Linked DNA regions of Stegostoma tigrinum. The protein of the gene in region 1 interacts with the protein of each later gene in a pairwise test. Links are inferred from orthologs where the notes say so. Each region holds a gene or a part of one and is shown in the gene's direction. Other genes may lie near its edges.

Region 1 (11,480 bases):
GGTTGGAGAAATATTTGAAGAGAATACAATGGCTTTATTAACAGGTGGGAATGATATAGCACAGTCTCCTACATGGATAAGCTATCAAGCAGGATTCAAGGTTAATCTTGTTGTGAGTTCCAGGCATCAAGTAGTAATATATTTAAGTTATAAGACTACAGAAATTCATTGCCTGGACAGCTAAAATATCTTTTTTCTACGCATATAACTGCACAGTTTTTGTTTACTGCTCCAGATATCCACAAATTGATACTCAGCTTTGGAACCTCAGTTGCCTCTTGTGGTATCAGTGCTTTGCATTTTGTTTAGAATTCAATTGAAATTATACTTCAAAAGCCTAGCCTTCACAGCTGTGTTCCAAAGACACCAGTATATAATGTTATGTCATTGAGCTGACATTTCTTGTCTCCATTTCCCAGTTGCACAGTATTTGTTATATAAGTCTTTGTTCACTCTCCAAAGCCTACAGGGTACTCACATTTTTTACCCAAATCTGAAGTCTGCACCGGAGACGTCAGTGTGAGAATTAGGCATATTTTTACAGCTTTCCCCAAAATTGTTCCACTATTTTGAAACAAGAGAATTGAAGGAACAACAGCTCTTGATATACATTACTGATTGATTCAAGTGTCACAAGGTTCAACAGAGGTGTTAGGTGACATCCATTTGACTGGAGCAATTCCAATGCCTGCATCCCAGCACTGGACATGTTTTGTGATGAACATTTTCGTTATAAATCCTGGTGTGAATTTACTAAATAGGTGTGTGCCAGATTTGTACTGAAGCTAAAATGTATGCAAACAATGTTTTTTTAAGTGTTCCTTCATTGTACTTTCATTCATATTCAATTGTATGACGAATGGTCAAAAAATTATATGGCAACAATAATTTCTAACAATGAATACACTATGGTAGACTTAAGTTATATGAATGTCATAAACTATAATAATGTAACTGCTTTGAATCAAATATTACTGGTTAGGAAAGATAATAAGTGTGGTATTCAGGGAAACTGAATGATTTGTCAAAAATGCCTCAATCCCAGCTGTAAACTCTGGTCTATTTTAGTTACTTTATTTGCAAATACAGTCTTTGCATTTGCCCCTTGACAGCTATCAGGACTCATTTATCTTTCATCCTATTCAGCTGTCAGGCAGGAATAGCGCACCTAAAGTGTGATCTGACCTTAGTCCCTGAGCCTGCTTGTAAGTTTGAGTTCAAATCATTTTCTTTAATTTCAGGTCCTCCGTCACAGGCGAACAGCCTGGCAGTGCCAAGCACCTGGAGATGGGTACGGAAAATAGGTGCTGGTGCAGACCTGAGAGGGATGCAGCAGCAGGTATGGCCAGTGACATCAGGGATTTCGGGCTATTGCCAGAAGTTCTAACTAGAAGACCCATATCACTGTTCCCTGGTCCTGCAAAACAGAAAAAAAAGACTTGGTTTGAATTTTGTTTCCTTTATTGCCAAATCTTTAACATCAATACCTTTACACTGCTGAGAGGGAAAAGTGAGGTGGAAGGTCAGAAAAGTCTCCTTATGTCTCATTAATATGGCAGCTTTTAGCTGGAGCCTATGAAGATCATAAATATGTCACATTTTTATATAATTTGAAGGTACTTGAGTTGCAATGAGTCAGTTCATATGTATGCCTCTGGAAATCCACATATATTTGAGAGGAGTGCTGGGCTTGTCAAATTACAAGGTTTGCTGTGCAAATATAAAGGATGGAGATTTATTCCAGGGCATGGGAAAGCTGGAGGGAGTAAATGCCGTGATTAACTGACAGTGTCATTTGAGACATTGCCAAATGGAAAAGGTCCTCACGCAGCTGGATTCTTTGGTTCCTACAACTTTATAATGGCCTCTCCCTCGTGATGTTGTGTGGCCTCTTGCTCCAGCTTATCCATATGGGGTCCTCACCGAAGATCAAAGTTATGATTCATGCAGCACACAGAATGATTCATGAAACTGTACCAGAGAATCTGTCAAAGCAACAGAATCAGTGACAACTCCTAAAGAACACATGCACCTCATTAAATCTGTGCTGCTGCTCTCTACAAAAGGTGCAAAGAGATCATGAGCCACAGCTGCATGTTTCTGGTTACGTTTCTGGTTTCCTACTTTGCACTGTTCAGTCAAAATAAATAACAGAGACTGGACTATCTTGAAACAAGTGCATCATAACTTCTGCTAGGGAAGTATGCATTCACCTGCATTATCCTGTGAAAATGGTCACATAGATTGTTGAATAGTCCTTCAAGCTCCTGTACAATGCAGTATTCTCTGAAGCAACAATGAGTTTCATTTATATATCACCTGTAACATATAAAGCTACCTAAGGTGTCTAATATTTGCCACTCAACCACACAAAGCAAGATTAATACAGTTGACCTGTGGAGAAAGAAATAGAATTAATATTTGAATCAAAGCTAACTTGAAGGGTCCCGACCTGTAACATCAAGCTTTCCTGCTCCTCTGATGCTGCTTGGCCCGCTGTGTTTATCCAGCTTCACACCATGTTATCTCTTCTTCAGAACCTTGATGTTTTGTTTCTCTCTCCATAGATGCTGCCAGATTTTCCAAAGTTTCCAGCACTCTCTGTTTTTTTTTGCCCCCAGCATTTACAATAGCATATTTCTAATTTGGATTAAGTTTCAATTCTTGTTTTCAGGAAAAAAAGGAAGCTATACAGATATAGCGAGAGGATTCCAGCGCATTGAATCCAATCAACTACAGGTGTGGTCACCAATGATAAGGCGAATAATACCGAGGATGTGCCAAAGGCCATCAATGAAGGAATTCAGAGAGTTTGAAGAGTTGTGGGGTTGGAAGGGATTACAGGCATAGTGAGAGGTAACATCGCCTCATGGAGAGATTTGAAAATAAAGATGATTTTTAAATTAAAGCATTGCCAGACCAACCATCAGTGTAGATCAGTGCGCGCAGGTATGATTGGTAAACGTGAATTGTTTTGAGTTATGACATAGACAGCAGAGCTTTGGATGAACACAATTTTATATAAATGGGAGGCTGACCATTGGAATTATCAAGTTTACAGTAAACCATAACTTGTATGAGGATTTCAGCAGCAGAAGAGCTAAAACAGGATTGAAGTTAACCAAAGTTACAGAGATGGAAGTAAGCAGCTTGTTGATGAAGTGTGTATGTAGTTGAAAGCTCAAAATGGCATCAAATAAAATAATAAGAGGACAAACAGTCTGATTTAGCCATAGACAATGACTAGGCAGTGGAACGGAGCCACTGGTCAGAGAGTGGGTTTGTGGGAGAAGACCTGTAGCTTTGATCTTCCTAATAGTTAGTTGAAGGAAATTTACACTTACTTAGTTGGATAAGCAAGGGAACAAATCAGAGAGAGCTAGTGATGAGGTGGGTCTGGGTCTCATCAGTGTACATGTGGAAATTGATAGTTTGATTTCCAAAGATGCTACTTTGGGGCAATATGTAGTTGAGAAAAAAAAACAGAGCCAAGGAGCAAACAGTTGAGGTCGCAAAGTGAAACTTCGGCTACAACTGGACAGATAGAAGTGGATTAGATGAGTCAGCCAGTTGATTGCCAGAGGTACGGGCTTCAAGAAGAATAGGAAGTGTTCATTTCCCACAGTCACAATGAAACAAAGAATATCATTTGTGACTTTGACAGCAGTCGATTTTTTTGGTTCCATGACTGAGTTTAAGCTGACTGGTGGGAATCAAATGTAACATTCTGGAAATGTTGGGGATGGTTTTTGGAAGTGATAGCAACTTTGAGGGCTTTGGAGAGGAAAGAAAGATTTGAGATGGTCTGACACTTTGAAAGAGGGGTCAAGAATTTTTTTTTCGCAGATGTCATAACAACAGTGGATTTGAGGGGACCGTGGCAGTATCAGATGATAGTGGAACATGTGTGAGTAAGAGAATTGAGATGATAATCTTGTGAGCTATATTATCTGCAATGTTTGCACTTGCTTAGCAAGGTTTTCTTCCTGTTATGCAATTTTACTTAATTTGTCTACCATTGAAAAGAAACAGAGCTGAAGTCAAGAATGTACAAATTCTTGAAGGATATTACCCTGAATATCCTTAGCTTTGCTATCTGCCAGTCTAATTTTGTTCAAACTAAAATTTCTCCCAAAAAATCAAAGCCATCTTTTTCTGTCACTATCGTGTGTTCTGTTCATTTGTCATAGACTACAATTGCATCCCCAGCCACTTGCTCAGGTGAAATCAGGTTGTATGAAATCTCAGCACACAGTCTAGTATCAATTCCCACATCCTGTCCAAAAGTGCTCATTTTTACCCTCACAATGTGTGTCACTGTTGTCCGTGCCTAAACCCCCCATACAATAAAAATACTTATCCACTCACTGTTCTGCCATTTGTACACTTGATTTGTACGATATATTCTTTGACATCCTCACTGACCAATTTGTCCAAACTCATACAATGTCTGTCCCTTCAATTTCCACTGATGGACATTAACTCCCTGTGTCCCAGCAATGTGAATTCAAAATCCTCATTGTTTTCATTATCAATGTAACCGCCTCTACAGGCTTCTGCAACTTAAATTTCTTTTCTCGAGCTTTGCAACCTCTTCCTCTGGATTTCTCACCCGGTCCATTATGTCAATTCTGCTCAGTCAGAAGTCACACCACACCAGGTTATATAACAACAGGTTTATTTGACATCACAACCTTTTGAAGCGCTGTTCCTGCACGTGACAAAGAAGCAGCGCTTCCAAAGCTTGTGATTTCAAATAAACCTGTTGGAATATGACCTGGGTTTTTTTTCTGATGAAGGGTCTAGGCCCGAAACATCAGCTTTTGTGCTCCTAAGATGCTGCTTCGCCTGCTGTGTTCATCCAGCCCCACACTTTGTTATCTCGGAATATGACCTGGTGTTCTGTGACTTCTGACTTTGTCCATCCCAGTCCAACACCGGCACCTCCACATTCAACATTAGTGCCAAAGTGTTGTCGCGCTTTGTCGTGACATCATCATGATCCTTTATTTCAGTCAGCATTTTGAAGTCCACCTAAAACACATGCTTCAGCTGAGTGTTCAATCCTATCTCCTGGCTCAGTGTCATCCTTTTATTTTTTATTTCTCCACAAACTGCTTTGTGAAGTGGACATCAAAGGGTGTTTTTCCCCCCTGTTTTACAGCGTCAATGCCTCCTTAAGAGATCTCTTCACAGATTCTTGTTTTGAAAGAATATCAAACTTCGGGCAAGAAGCATACAGCTCAGGAGAAAAGCCACGTACTTCCTCATGTTGCACCATTGATTCTGAATATCACCATCAAATGAAGTTCTGGCGCATTCAACGCCAGAATTTATTAAGTGGTACAGCTCAAGGATTCTTAAATGTACGAACTCGCCAATTTGGCCATTCACACAGTCCCTGTTACTTTTAAAAGCCCTGTAAAGACCAGTACTTCCAATGATCATTCCCTCATATCGTCACATAGTTTGATTACTTTGGGGGCAATTAGGCGGAACTTAACGTGGTAAATATAAAAATACGTCAAACTTTAGCCCACGTTGCACAAACCCGCGCATGATTCGTCACCGTTTTTTTTAAAGACTGCATGGACTAAAAAGCTTTTGTTTTATTTTTTAAATAAGTGTACCTATGTTTTCAGATCGAAGCACCTTGCTGCTAGTAATGTAGGTTTGAAGTCGGCCCCATGCTATTCGAGCGTCTTGCTTCCAGTCCTCTGATTGCATTCCTTGCTCCTTGTTTGCACCTTAAGAGGGTTCAAATCACAGGCTGGTTATTGCAAATAGTAGGTTCACATTGCTTACTAATTATTGCACCACTTTCCCCTTTCTAGTTCTAGGCTCGAGTTATGACCATAAATCGCAAATGAATACACCTTCTGCTCCATTAACGCGGCCCCAGCTGAAGGTGCAGTTTGCAAATGTTTGTGCACCGTCCCTCATGTTGTGTTCAACTGTTGCCGGGACAGCAGCGGACACGGAAGAGCGGAAAAGGCGTAAAAAGGCTGCGAGATGACATCCGCGGACACGGCTCTCGCTTTGAGTCTGCTGGGCGGCCACTTTGCCCATTGCTATGAATGAACAATCTTTGCTACATGAGGGTGTCGAGAACTCAACAAATACGCTAGCATTCGTCTTCTGTGGCTGTTTTCTTCGACGCATTCACATATTGCTATGGCAACATTTAAGACTTGAACTACAAAATCGAGGAGTTGGCCGGGAAAGCTTGACAAGCACAGCCTGTCAGATGGTGCCAGCAAGTTAATTGTATCACCCCTTGTGCCTACTACCTCAGGCGTGGCCATCAATCATTGAGGGACAGGAGCTTACAAAACTATGATTCAGGAAAAAAAAATCATAGATCAACTTGTGCCATCTGCTACAGGAATACTTGAAGTTAGTCCTCAGTTCAGGAGGAACTTCACTTTCTCTTTTCAGGTTAGCACTGGGCGCATACTCAAGTTGGCCAGTTTCCTGCCAATAGATGCAATAAGGGCGCAACAGATGCATAATTTTAAAACGCCCACATTTGTTTTCATTGCTTTCCTCAAGTAAATGTTCAAAATATTATCAGCCTATTTAAATCTCCTAAAAGTTAGCATTTGCCTTCCATAGCACTCCAATTTGGGACACTCATATCTTATAAATTTAACAAATTTACAACACATTGCCTTGAAATAGTTACAAATTAAGGCCTTAAAATAAAAATAAGACATTTTAAACTTCAAACATGTTCATACTGGGAAATTTTGAAAGAATATAGTAAAATTATTTTTTTCGTCGCTGCATGTAGGGCAAATGCTAAATAAGGCAAGTGTCTTCAGAGGACTTGTATAAATATCTTTCTGTTGTCATCACTATAATTGGGACATCCTGAAACTGAATAGTGCCCGTGAGAAAAAAAAGCAGCAATGCGCAAAGCTCCCCAGCAGAACTACCAAAAACTGCATTCCTATCCCAAATGCTGACCTGAATTCCATTCTTTAAACACAAGGTAAATTAAAAGTCTGTTACTATTACTTGACACTAGGAACAAAACAATAGGACCATTGAGAAGGAGAACCATGTTTGGTTCTTTACATTGTGTTTATGGATATACTTCATGGATTATGAACAGGACTGACAAAATATTAGGCATTTAGCACATTCTTGGATTATTTTCTGATATAGTGTGTAAGGAGTTTAAAAAACACATTCACAGTAACACATGTCCTAGTTTATTTCAACATGGGATTTGCACCAAATTCTCAAAATGCAGCCAAGTTCATACACAATATAACAAGCAATTCAACAAAAAGCAGAAAAAAAACAGTTCTGAACTTAGGTTTAGGAAATGTAGCTAGTCAGACTAGCAATAGGAGAATATTTTTGTTTTAGTAATTATAATTCAGGTGGATTTGCTGTAGTTATAGAAGAGGACAAAGATAGACCAGGATCAAAAGATTCCAAGTATGTTTAGTCAGTTTTATTCACCTGAATTAGCAAGCTGAGAGGCAGTCAGAGGAAATAAACAGGATTCACAACAAGTATTTCCACAAACAGAAAGTGAGACTCCTAAGCTTAGAGCCATAGAATGTCAAAGAGCATACACATGTGAGACAAACATTGGGAAGTTTACAGAGATATCAAAACTTAATTCTGTTTTGACAAGTGCAGAAAGTGCAGGGGTAACATTGAAATAAAGGAAATTAGGAAAACAAAGAGATATCATGAAGTTAAGTCAAAGAAAATTCAAATATATTTCATAAATATATGAAGAGCAATAGGGTTTCTAAGGGCAGTTAAAAACCAAAATAGGTAACCTGTATGTGGAGGCAGAAGGTGTGGGCTTTATTGTTAATGAACACATTGGAAGTACGAAGGGAGTTCGTATTTTTGAAAGTAGATATCAGACCCAGATGAAGTGTATCCCTGGAAAAATATATTTAAGGCTTTGACCATAATTTTCCTGTGTCCTCTTGCAGCAAGCATATAATCTATAAATTTGAGGACTGCTAATGTTGTATCCTTGTTTAAAAATGAATAAGGGGGTAGACTGAGCAATTCCAGGCCAGTCAGCCCAATGCCAGTGACAGATACATAACTGAAAAAGGTTCAAAGGAATGGCATCAACCTTTATTTAGAAAGACAAGGATTATTCACAATAATAATTCAAGTCAATAATCTTTAATCATCTAAGTTTAACTTTGTCAGACCCACTGAATATTTCTTGAATGTTCTATTTTTGCCTCAGATTCCAAGCATCCATAGTGTATTCTTTCTGTAATGATTAATTGAAGCGTCGACATGGATTTCTTAATGGAAGGTTGTATCTGACTAAGTTGATTGAATGTTTTTGTGGAGGTAACAAACAGGGGCAATGAAATTAGAGTGTTTTTGCATAGTCTATCTGGATTTTAACAAGGTGTTGACAGCATTCCTCATGAAGGACTGATCAGAAAAGTGTGAGCTCCAAGGGCAAGTGGTAAGTTTGATTGAAAACAATTTTGTAGCAAGTAATGAATGGGAATAATGTGACCACGATTCTGCTTCCAGTGGGGTCTATTGGGCTCAGCACTGACCCATTGATTTGCCAGGTATGTATCAATGATGCAGGGGACATGACTAAGAATGTTGCAGGTGATATGAAAATTGGCTACATGGTTGAGAGAAAAATATAAACCAGCAGCTTGCAAGAAAATGTTAATGACTTGGTGAAATGGGTACAAAGTGGTATGTGAAACGCAATCCAGGGAAAAGAGATAATGCACTTGGGAAGTCAATAAAACAAAGGAAAACAAAATAAATGGTGACAATTATAGAGGAACAGAGAGACCTTGGAATGCTTGTCTACAGATCTCTGAAAATAAAAGGATAGATGGTGAAGATGACAATGAAAATATGTAGGTACAAAGTTATTGAAGTTAAGCAGCTATTTATTAGTTGAAATATATGTTAGAAGAGCGGGGAGGCTGAATTAGCCTGGCCAATGCTGGAGAATCACATGTAGTTCTGATCATTCTGATCACAATTGAGTGACTACAAGGGATATTTAAGAGAGAGGCAGACTGCCTGTAACAACGGAAGGCCGGCTGCACCACATGCTATCAGTAAACACTACTTGGCTCACTACTGACCACAGAAGCAGGCAGCAACATGCCAGACACCTGGTGCTATGCTCTAATCGGGTAAATGAGTTGGCAACACCAGATTCTCCACAGAAACTCCACAGGATCAGTATAACCAGGTCACAAATCACAAACCCTGTGTCCAAGAAATGGTGCAAAGCAGCTTATGGCATTTTTGTTGTAAAAACAATTTTACTTTTATTTTTGACTTTTTTTATTCCATCCAAGTCTAATTTTCATATCTCTCTCTTTCTGTACCTAATTTTAAACTGAATTCATCCTTTCTAATTTACAAGTCCTCGTGCATTTTATTCACAATTTTAATCTGATTGATTAAGGAGATAAATGGATATTCGATGTTCAGTCAAATCCCAGATACATGATAAAAACCAAAATAACTGTGGATGGTGTAAATCAGAAACAAAAACAGAAATTGCTCGAAAAGCTCAGCAGGTCTGGTAGCATGTGCAGAGAGAAATCAGAGTCAATGTTTCAGGTCTGGTGACCCTTCCTCAGAACTGATGGTAACCCCCAGGTTGCCTCACTCCAAATTCATCAGATCACACTCTCAACAACTTGTAACATGTTGAGTTTAAATGAACAATGAGTTCAACGAAAGATGAATGGTGCTTAATGCATTGCTACAGCAAATTATGGCCCATTGATGAAAATAGATGAACCCATGACACAGTTAAACAAAAATTTCAACAGGGACTTAATGAAAATCCTTATAAAGGGTAGAAAAAATACTTGAAGTACTATCTTTGAAAGTAAATGCTGAAATAAGTTGCATTGACAGCAACACAGACAGCTGAACAAAAAGCTGTGTAACTTTAGCAGGATACACTTGTTTTATATATATATATATATATATATATATATAGCTCATCTTGTCCCCCATACAATAAAATATATTCAACAGCACTGCCCATGTCCCCTTACCAACTCCAGCACACACACCGAACCTGTACCAAAAATCCTGTACAGTCAGTGCTCTTGTGCAAATGGGCATACTGCCTACAAAATTAGAGCCACACATGTATTCCATATCAACTGTGCTTTTCATAAGTTTTTTTACATTCGAATTTCCTTCTTTAGTTTATATTTATTGATTAATTTCTCTGAGCTTGGAATACAGGTGGTATTTCAAACAGTCTCCTTATGCAATGAAATAAATTATCTGTTGACTGTTAACCTATATTGAATATATAACGTGAACGCCACATACTGTGAGTGTACAGGATATTTGCCATGGACACCCTGCATGGAAACTATTGTATAATGAAAACAACCTGGGTTTATTGAAGTTGGCTTGTACAGTGAAGAGCGGGGAAAATTGTTAAATTTAAGGAAGTTAAATGTTAAGGATGTTAAAATAAAAATAATGAATCTAGTTCTTTATACTGTGAACTTTTGGTCATATTTTTACTCTAATTTAAGGGATTAAACCCAATCTCCAAGAATGTGAAATGTCTTTATGGAAGACTTAAAATGTTTGTTGGGGGAAGGTATAAATTAATAGCAGACACAAATGTGTACAGTAGATAAGAATTAAAGCCAGCATAGCTAAAACTATAACACCAAGGACAATTAATAGTTGCTATGTGTTGATTTGTTATTCATGTAAATGGAAAAATGTAGGACTACTCCGCAGATCAGGCAGCGTCTGTGAAGAAAGTAACAACATTCACAATATTTTGTCTTTTGGTATTTATTATTATTGGTTAAGTTTTCTTTTGTTAAACATATTATTTCACATCATTTTGGAAAAAATACTCATGGTTAAATCCAAAGAAACTAGCACAGTAGGGTGAAATGAGAGTATGTAAACTGGTGGTTGTATTAATGCCAAAACCAGTCAAGCTTTCACTTCACAATACTCTGTCTGACCCTGCTAAGTTACATCAAATATCAGTTGCTACTCAGTGGTAGGTTAGATGTCTTCAAGTTGCCACAAGTGTCCCAAATGATTAATTGGGGGTCAGGAAACAAACGAAAAGAGAAATTGCTAGTGAAACTCAGTAGATGTGGCAGCATCTGTGTGAGAAAACAGGGTTAGACAGAGTTTCGAGTTCGGTGATCTTTGTTCAGAAGTGCTTTTAAGTCTTTTGAGAGCTTATTACACTCACTTGTTCACTTTGTCCTTTGATAGGGCCTTCATATTTCCTTCCCTCTGGTGTAGCTGAAAAGTAAAGAATTGATTTCTTTTTGAGAAATCTAAATGCAATTCCCAGTAGAATCACAGTCCAATTTAAAGAAAAAAACACCATTCATGATAGCTAGAACATTTCTTTCATCCCCAACATTTTAAAGATCCTGTAAAAATTAAATTATAGCTACAATTGACAAGGGGGCAAGATCTGTCAACAAAAA
Region 2 (10,437 bases), on another chromosome or scaffold:
GGGCTACGGGAAGAGTGCAGCAAAGTGGAGTTGAAATGCCCATCAACCATGATTAAATGGCGGGTGGACTCGATGGGCCGAATGGCCTTACTTCCACTCCTATGTCTTATGGTCTTATAGGTGGTGGTGGAGGCAGGTACAATTACAGCATTTAAAAGACATCTGGATAGCTACACGAATAGGAAGGGTTTAGATGGATATGGGCCACATGATGGCAAATGAGACTCGATCAGGTTTGGATCCAAAATATTACTACAGTGATTTCCTCCCTCTCTCTTCTAAAAAAAAGTCACGTGAGGGTTAAAAGCAAGGGAAAGTAAGTGGTCTTGCTCTGCTGCTGGTGAATACAACAGACAGTGATAGGTGAGTAGCAGGTAAGTCTTTACAACTCCTATCACTTACAGTACATGTTTTGGCTTCTAATCTGTAAGGGTAGTACATGGACTAGGAAAGAAGGGCCACAGATAACTGGAACAAAAACGTAAGTTGCTGCAAAAGTTCAGCAGGTCTGGTAGCATTTGTGAAGAAAAAATCAGAGTTAACGTTTCAGGTCCGGTGACCCTTCCTCAGAACTGATGGTAGCTGGGAAAAAGTCTACAGATAACTGGATTTGATTTAAGAAGGGTCCACTGGACCTGAAATGTTAACTCTGATATTTTCTTCACAGATGCTGCCAGACGCTGCTGAGCTTCCAGCAGCTTCTGTTTTTGCTCAGAGACTATTTAATGTAAAACTACTAAACTTCATCTCTTGCCTTCTATTATTTGCCAAATACTATATTGCACAAGGCAAGGTAAATGAATGCATGGCATACCTCTATACTACTATGTCCCTGTACTGTGTGGCATTCCACCTGTTGACTTATACCTCCACCATCTTTTTCTGGTAGAAGCTGGCCATTCTAAGCAAGGAATAGATAGAACTTTATGAGATGCAGCATTGTCAACATTCTCTACAGGGCACTTTGGGAGCCCTGTGCACTGCTTGGTATATAAGTTACTTATTTGGTTGAAATTCAGGCTTTGAAAGAAAAGTAGCTGTGGATTCAAAATGGTTCCAAAGGGTTCAATAGAAAGTTGCTGCAACATTTTCAAGTTACTAAAAAAAAGCTTGTGATGTAGATATAATGCAGTCACTTCTAGTAGCTTTTTATAAATCAACCTGTTTAAGCATGTTATAACAACTATCTGGAACAGGCAGGGCTTGAATCTAAAACTTCTGCCCCAGACGTACAGACACTACCACCGTGCTGCAAAAGCCCTGAGGTCTGGAGTCCAACAGCAATACATTACCTCCCCTATATTAAACCACCTGGTTATTTCAGAGATGTTATTACATATTTCTGGAGCAGGTTAGACTTGAACTCAGGCTTTTGTGCCACAGAGGCCTTATGTGTCACATGAGCTTAGCAAGACATTACTTCCTGATTCCCACATTGCAGTTTTAAAAAATAATTTAACAGTTGTGGTCCAACAAACTTGTGACTCTTGAACCACAGCATTGATTCTTAATTGCAATTTGGACAACTGCTGAAGGGCAAAACATGCTTGCCTAATCAGAGACACTCATATTCCATTGTGAATTACAAAATGTGCTACTGTCATTGCAAAATATATGTATGCAATAAGGAAAATGGTATCAGTTATGTGGACAGGGACCTTTACCTGCTGTGGAAAATTTATACCAAAATTGTTGTTCTGTTTCCACCACACTCAGATCAATAGCTTCCTCGTGTATGATCTTTAGTATTCTGTACTAAAGGATTTTTTTAGAATAAAGCATTTTTCTGGAATTATTTTAGAAATATGCATGCTGTGACTGTGCATATATTGCTGTGCTGAGATTAACTGTTGCATAATCTACATAAATGCTGAACTCAGTCATGATCCATTAGCAGGAATTACACATCAGCAGATAAGTTTACCGTGAAGCAAATCTGCTCAACCAGCAGTACCCCCTCCAAGTTTCATTGAAAAAGTTTGTGTATATCAGCGTTGGCAATGGCCTGATGAGACATTGTGCAATACTGAATTTCTACTTTTGACCTCTAACCGTATTAAGGGAGATTAAAAATGTATCAAGATAGCTAACTTCACCAGATCAAACCTTGAAGTTGTCACTTTGCAGATTAAGATGCACCCATAGGCATGGCCCAAGAAATTGTTTTGCATTTTTGAACTTCCCATTGCATCTCAGTACTGATTTTACAAATCTGATTTTTGTGTAACATATTTGTTTGTATAATCATACCTACTTTTAGGTCGATTTGAAGTGCTACTTACTCTATATTACCAAACTGTACATTGATGAATATAGTACAATAAAATTGTGATGCTGAATTGCAGGAGACCACTCACAAATGTGCGTCAAGCTGAGTTTTGAGATAGCCAAAGAAGCTCAAGCACAACTCAATTTTGCCTAGACATATTTCATGCAAAAACAAGCAAATAAAGACACAGTAACTATGTGAAAAATGCATTTCCTTTTATTTTCAATTTATTCACACTTTACAACGGCCGGAGCATGTACTGTAAAAAGTATTAAAAATGTTGGGGTTATCTCTGGAAAATCTCAATAAACTTTTTCTGCTTAACATGATGTCTTTGGGGAAATGTGATACAGAATGCCATGCTGTCAATGCAGTCAAACATTTTTCAGTGTTTGTGTTCCAGCACAAAACCCAGGCCATTTCCACGGCTGCAGAGCTTTAGTTAGGGAAACGCAGGCATTCATTAGTCTCTTCACAATTATCTGCCATTTCAGTGATACTTACATGGCTTCACAGAAAGATGTTGATGTCAAGTGTCAAGCTTGCCTGGAATCTTGTGCTGCAGTGCAGCCTGACTCCAATCTGATTGATTGGTGTGGTCACATGACAAGTTAACACAAATTCAATAAATCTGGAGTTACCAGTCCAGACTTTTGATATATGAACAGCATCTTTCTGTTAGATTTCCTAACTTATCTACAGCTAGTTCAGTTTTCATGTCCACATTGTTGCTTAATTTAACTTAGAATACTAGTCTTGGACAGCACGTGGATAAACTTCAGAAGTTATTCATCCCAGTCAGGCATAAAATTAAAACGGGAAATGTGGTCAGACCACAGCTTGCAAGGGAAACTAAGAATAGTGTTAAATCCAAAGAAGAGGCATACAAGTTGGCCATAAAAAGCAACAGACCAAAGAACTGGCAACAATTTAGATTCCATCAAAAGGAAAGAAACAGGCAATTAAGAGAGGAAGATAATAAAATGTGAGGCTGGATGAACACAGCAGGCCAAGCAGCATCTCAGGAGCACAAAAGCTGACGTTTCGGGCCTAGACCCTTCATCAGAGAGGGGGATGGGGGGAGGGAACTGGAATAAATAGGGAGAGAGGGGGAGGCGACCGAAGATGGAGAGTAAAGAAGATAGGTGGAGAGAGTGTAGGTGGGGAGGTAGGGAGGGGATAGGTCAGTCCAGGGAAGACGGACAGGTCAAGGAGGTGGGATGAGGTTAGTAGGTAGCTGGGGGTGTGGCTTGGGGTGGGAGGAAGGGATGGGTGAGAGGAAGAACCGGTTAGGGAGGCAGAGACAGGTTGGACTGGTTTTGGGATGCAGTGGGTGGGGGGGAAGAGCTGGGCTGGTTGTGTGGTGCAGTGGGGGGAGGGGATGAGCTGGGCTGGTTGTGTGGTGCAGTGGGGGGAGGGGATGAGCTGGGCTGGTTGTGTGGTGCAGTGGGGGGAGGGGATGAACTGGGCTGGTTGTGTGGTGCAGTGGGGGGAGGGGATGAACTGGGCTGGTTTAGGGATGCAGTGGGGGAAGGGGAGATTTTGAAACTGGTGAAGTCCACATTGATACCATATGGCTGCAGGGTTCCCAGGCGGAATATGAGTTGCTGTTCCTGCAACCTTCGGGTGGCATCATTGTGGGTTAATTAAGAGAGGAAAATGGAGTGTGAGAGAAGGATTGACAGGAACATACAGACCAATGGTAAAAACTTCAACTGATATGTGGTGAGAAAAAAAAAGTGAGAACTAGTTGGCAGACACGAAACAAACAGTTGAGATAAACAAAATAATAACCAAAAGAATTGTGGATGTTGTAAATCAGGAACAAAAACAGAATCCCCCTCATCCTCACGTGCCACCCCACCAACCTCCAGATCCAACGCATCATCCTCCAGCACTTCCACCATCTGAATTCCGACCCTACCACCGCAGACATTTTTCCCTCCCCACCCTTATCTGCTTTCCAGAGGGACCACTCTCTCCGTGACTCCCTTGTCTGCTCCCCACACTCCCCTCCAGCCCCACCTCACCTGGCACTTTTCCCTGCAACCACAGGAAGTGCTACTCCTCCCGCCTCACCCCCATCCCAGGCCCCAAGAAGACTTTCCACATCAAGCAGATGTTCACCTGCACATCTGTTAATGTGGTACTGCATCCGCTGTACCCGTTGTGGCCTCCCCTACGTCAGGGAGACCAAGCAGAAGTTTGGAGACCACTTTGCAGAACACCTACGCTCAGTTCACATGAAACAACTTAACCTCCTAGTCACGAATCATTTCAACTCCCCCTCCCATTCCGCAGATGACGTGTCCATCCTGGGCCTCCTGCAGTGCCACAACAATGCTACCTGAAGGTTGCAGGAACAGCACCTCATATTCCGCTTGGAAATCCTGCAGCCCAATGGTATCCATGTGGACTTCACAATTTTCAAAATCTCCTCCTCCTACCGCATCCCAAAACCAGCCCAGCTCGTCCAAGCTTCCTTAACCTATCCTTCCTCCCACCTCAAGCCTCACCCCAATCTCCTACCCACTAACGTCATCCTGTCCCCTCAGCCTGTCCGTCTTCCCTGGACTAATCTATCTCCTCCCTACCTCCCCACCTACACTCACCTTTACCGGCTCCATCCCCGCCTCTTTGACCGCTTTGTCTCCTCTCCACCTCTCCTCCTTTATCCAAATTCTATCCACCTCCCCCTCTCAATTTCAGAAACCCCTTTCTCTGCCCCATTTCTGAAGAAGGGTTTAGGCCCGAAACATCAGCTTTTCTGCTCCTAAGATGCTGCTTGGCCTGCTGTGTTCATCCAGCTCCACACCTTGTTATCTCAGATTCTCCAGCATCTGCAGTTCCTACTATCTTTACAATGTGTTATCTATATTTTAATCACTCTGTTCAGATATATTATTACAGCAGGTGGGACTTGAACAGAAGGTTCCTAAATTCTATGTTTCTTAGACATACCTTTCTCCTCCTCAAACACGATGTAAATTGCAATCACATTCTAACTGCTGCTACCCAGAGGTACCCTTCCTGTGCGGACGATGTCTGGCAGGCTGAAGCAGGGATCTGCATCCATACACTTTGTGGGAATGACAGTGTGACAAAACGGCTAAGCGATAGCAGGAACTGCAGATGTTGGAGAATCTGAGATAACAAGGTGTAGAGCTGGATGAACACAGCAGGCCAAGCAGCATCAGAGGAGCAGGAAAGCTGACGTTTCGGATCTAAACCCTTCTTCAGAAATACGTCGGGAAACTGACCCCTCAGGAAACCGGGAATGTATGTCGCCAGGAGACATTTCATTTCAGGAACCCGAGCACCATTGTTATGAATTAAATTAATGTCTAATCCTCATCCCACCCGTACAGTAATTATAATAACTGTTACCTTACTCAGCATTCGGCATCTCAACAACGCATCCACTGCCTGGGAAGCAGTTCCGGGTTCACACCGGAAACGGTCTTCTCTGTCAAGATGGCGGCACCTGGTAAGGGGAAGAAGAAAGTTGTTGACCAGCAGGAGCTGCGGCGGTTAATGAGGGAAAAGCAGCGGGCGAGCGCGGCCGGCAAGAGGATCGACTCACCACTCGCTAAATATCCTTTTGGAGGGTCCGGAGGAAATGGGAGTTAGATCTCTTCTGCCAGACCAGGAAACCGTTTAACTCAAAATCAGGAGGATTTGTCAGGCCTGAGGGCGTCTTGGTCCATTTCGTGATCGAGATTTTTCAAATTCACACATCTGAAGTGACACTAACCACATACGCCAGTCAACAGTTTGCATTTACAGTACACCTCATCTTACCCGTGAAGTGCTTGGCATAAGAGGGTTTGCCAGGCTAAATTGAAGGGGGAGGCAAGGAGTCTAAGCATGAACCTGGCAAATTCGTGGGAACAGAAGCGTTTTCCTTGAAAATTATGAGCGAAAATAAAAGGATCCTTGGTTAGTTTAGCTCAAACATTCCCAGGCATCAACAATCGCTCCTCAGCTGTTTGATAGTTGCATTCCTTTCAGATTCCATTTGTGCTCTTCTAACAACTACAGTGTAATTGTTTTTTATCTATCTCTGTGGTTTATTTTATATTGAAACTTGTGGGCTTGATTTCCAAGATTCATTTGAGTCACAGTTCTGGGTCATGTCTTTTGAAGATCTTTATTGAGATTTTCCAGAATAATCAAACATTTGTTATTGGAAAATCTTTCCCAATCATTAAGTAGTTTCATGTGCAGTTTCCTGAATAAGTGGCAATATTATTGTTATGGGATAGCTAAGTTGAGTTAAATGCATGACTTAAAGATTGTTTTGGGTGTAATGGCTTTCAGTTAATGTGGCACTAGTACTAGCTTAGAAGATCAAATCTGGGAATTGAATATACAGGGTATGTGACATTTTGAAAGGCTAGCAAGAGTAAAAGGTTGTGTTGTTTCTTTATTAGTTACGGACATGCTAAACTTAAATAAGGTCAATTAAAAACGGCAAAGTTAGCTGGTGTGGACTAGGAAAGGAGTTTTCAGAAAGATAATTGAGGAACAAATGACAAAGGAATAAAATGAATACTTTGCATCAAGAAGAAACTAATTGCATTCCAGAATAAGAAATACGAAAAAGATCTCGGGGTAGAATGGGGCTAACGTCTGATATATCAGTGGTCCTGATTCATTGCATCCGAGGATTTTAAAAGAAGTAGCTACAGATAGTGGATGAATGGTAATAATCTTCCAGTCCTTAGATTCCATAAATGCCCCAGATTATTAGAAAATTATTAACGTAACACTCTTATTCAAAAACTGACAAGAGACAGAGGAAAGTAACTAGGCCCGTGAGCTTGATTTCTGTCATTGGAAAAATGTTATAGTCTATTATAAAGATGTAATCACAGTGTGTTTATAAATGTTTAATATAATCAGTCAGCATGATTCCATGAAGGGGAAATCATGCTTGAAATGTTTATTAAAGTTCTTTGAGGAGAATAGATAAGGTAAATCGATAGATGTAATGTATTTGGGTTTTCAAAAGCTTCTGCACATTAAGTCTTAATAAGACAAGAGCCATGATGTTAGGGGTGGCATAGTTGCATGAAAGAAGATTGGCTAACAACTGGAAGACAGGAAGTTGGGGTGAGGAGGCATATTCAGGATGGTTGTAATTAATGAAGTACTACAGGGATAAGTGCTGAAGCCATAATTATTTATAATATAGATTAATCACTTGGATGAGGAAAATGATTGTATTTTGGTCACTTTTGGAGAACACAGAAATAAGTGGCTAAGCCTCGTGAGGATGAAACAAAGTGTCTGCAGAAGGATAAAAATAGGTGACTTGATTGGGTAAAGACTTGACAGATGAAGTATAATGTAGCAATATATGAGGTTATGCACTGTGGCAGGGAGAATAGATGAGGTAAATATCAGTTAAATGAGGAAAGACTGCAGGAATCTGCAGCAAAGTGATTTGGGGGGTCCTCATGCATAAATCACAAAAAAGTCAGCATCAGTGTTCAGCGGCTAAAAAGAAAGGCATATGGACTGTTGGCCTTTATTTCAAGGGAATCATACAAAAATAGGAAGGTCTTCTAAAAGCTGCACGATGCACTAGTTGTACCACATCTAGAATACTGTAAATAGTTGGCCCCTTCGTTTAAGGAAAGTTGGCATTGGTGTCAATCCACAGAAGTTTCACTAGCTTGATTGTGGGTAGGGAGAGATTTTCTTATAGGTGAAATTGAGTTGGAGTTTGGAGGAATAAGAGAAAACCTAATTGAAACATTTTAGGTTCTTAGGGGGCTTGACAGAGTAGATGCAGGAAAGTTGTTTTCCCCTTGTATGAGAGTCTAAGACCAGAGGGCATAATTTCAGAGGCTGGAAGTTGTCCATTTAAAACTGAAGAAATTTCTTCCCTGAGTACAGTGAATCTGTGATTTTGTTTTTGTGTCACATGGCTAAAGAGACTGGGTTAAGTACATACAAAGCTGAGATTGACAGACTTTTTATCAGTAAAGGATTCAAGGATTAATGGAGAAAAGGCAAAAAAGTGGTGTTAAGGATTATCAGATCAGGCTTGATTTCACCGAATGACAGAATAGACTCAAAGTACTGAATGATCTACTCTTCCTTCTCCTTCTGATCGTTGGTCTTGTGAAGTCTGCATCAGTGGGCTTTACATTTTCTTTCTTTATGGATTAGGTTTTAACTTTGATGTTATAAAGTAAATTGGACTTCAAAATGATTATTGAGGCTCAGGTTTGTTTTTGGACTGACAACCTGCTCCCTAGCTTTGCAACTATTTCTGTGTCTGCTAAGCTGGTTTTTACAAATCCACAGAGTTGTAGGAACCTCTTAAAATTACTTCCTACTGACCGTTGCCTTGTCATCTGTAGTTTTCTCCCCCTTGCTTCTGCCACTTTGCACATTGATCTGCTGTTTATCTCCAAGCCTCCTATCTGATTATTGTCTTGTTGTATCTCAACAACTTTTCATGAGCATAGATACATGAAAAATAAATTGTTATTTTGACAGAGAAGACAGGTTGAAGTCAAATATAGGAACAGGGCACGCAAAAGAGGCACTGCAAACAAGTGGACAGGCAAACACAGTGAGCAGTTTGGTAATCACATGGGAATTTTCCTCCCCCCTTTATCAAGGTGAAAACACCATGCACATCATCAGCATTCTTCCAACTAAAAGAGATAATGTATATACAATAAACCAAAGCATTTAGGTTGGGGTAGTTACAATATGCCCTTTGGATGATTTTTTTAAAGAGACCAATCAATGAGATGCAGGTTTTGCTGAAGTGCTGCAGATTAAGTGGTTTCAAATATTATTATGGGAAGTGTTGGCAGCAGCTGCCACTGATTATCGTGGTGATTTTGGTGATTTTTCTGTTTTCCTCTGTGTGAAAATCAATTTTCAAGGCCTTTTATAAATAGCAAAGATGAAAGTTGCTGAGCTCCCTTTCTTGAAAACTGTAAAACGTTCTGGTTCTTTTAACTGTGCATATATTAAATCTGTCACCATGGACTTAATGTTGCAGAATTTGCTAGTTACTTGCAGTGGATTCTTGTTTAGAGTGGCCAAGGATTGATTTACAACGCTGTCCACAACAAGTTTTCTTGACAGTGATAGACAAGGAGAACCGGTTACAAGCTTGAGAGAGATAACCCCTGAGTCTTTCTCACAGTCTCTATTGGAGCAAATGCTGCAGTGTCATTACCACAGAGAAGTGCTGTGATCAGGACTTATCAGTCTGAGTGAATTGTAGAGTTCATTGTCTGCATCCATAACATTAATTGTCGAAAAAATATCAGATTCAGTGAATTCAAAAGATGTTGATGAAATGTCAGAAAAAAATTGAAGCTTTCACATGTCAAAAGTGCTGTTTCCTAAAATAATTCACATCATGAAGCCATGAAATATATGCTTGTGTATTATGGGGCCAACAATGTTGATTGATGGCCACTAACAATAATTGTAATATTAAATGGTTGCTTACACCATTTATTGCTAGATTTAACTTTTTGCACAAGTTTAATGGCTTGTTACACATGTACTTCAAACTTCTGGGAGTTGAAAGATTGTATATAATACTGCCAAAGCTAGCTGTGCAAATGATCCAGAAAAACTTGCTCACTATAAGTTCCTAGCCAATTTCTATATTCATAATGAAAAATCTTGGCTATTATCTTTTAGATTAGATTCCCTACAGTGTGGAAACAGGCCCTTCGGCCCAACAAGTCCACACCGCCCCTTAGAGCATCCCATCTAGACCCATCCCCCTGTAACGCACACACCCCTGAACACTACGGGCAGTTTAGCATGGCCAATCCACCTAGCCAGCACATCTTTGGACTGTGGGAGGAAACTGGAACACCCGGAGGAAACCCACGCAGACATGGGGAGAATGTGCAAACTCCACACAGACAGTGGCCCGAGGTTGCATCTGAACCTCGGTCCCTGGCACGGTGCTAACCACTGAGCCACCGTGCCTCTTTTAGCAAAGTGAGTTATCAGATAATCCAAAAACCCATTCCTGTCATGTTGTTACTACTGAAGATGCATGCTAAATTTACATTTGCTGATTCTTAAGTAAAATGGAATAATTATATCATTTTAAAATACAAAGACTTTGTTGTGGTGCAGATGAATTATTGAACCCTATTTTGCAAATGCAA

The links.
Region 2: the proteins of aqr (region 1) and znf830 interact in a two-hybrid assay, tested with the Homo sapiens proteins (2 studies listed by BioGRID and IntAct, with this or other methods). The link is inferred for Stegostoma tigrinum from reciprocal best matches to the Homo sapiens genes AQR and ZNF830.

Annotation. Positions count from the first base shown.
Region 1 is NC_081363.1:64,633,559-64,645,038, reverse strand, and holds the start of aqr (RNA helicase aquarius), read left to right. Parts: upstream 1-6,162; 5' UTR 6,163-6,438; intron 6,439-11,480. Other genes in the region: uncharacterized protein LOC125455427, read right to left, coding at 1,319-1,417, 5,631-5,747, 5,877-6,162.
Region 2 is NC_081355.1:92,354,679-92,365,115, reverse strand, and holds the start of znf830 (zinc finger protein 830), read left to right. Parts: upstream 1-5,731; 5' UTR 5,732-5,743; coding exon 5,744-5,865; intron 5,866-10,437.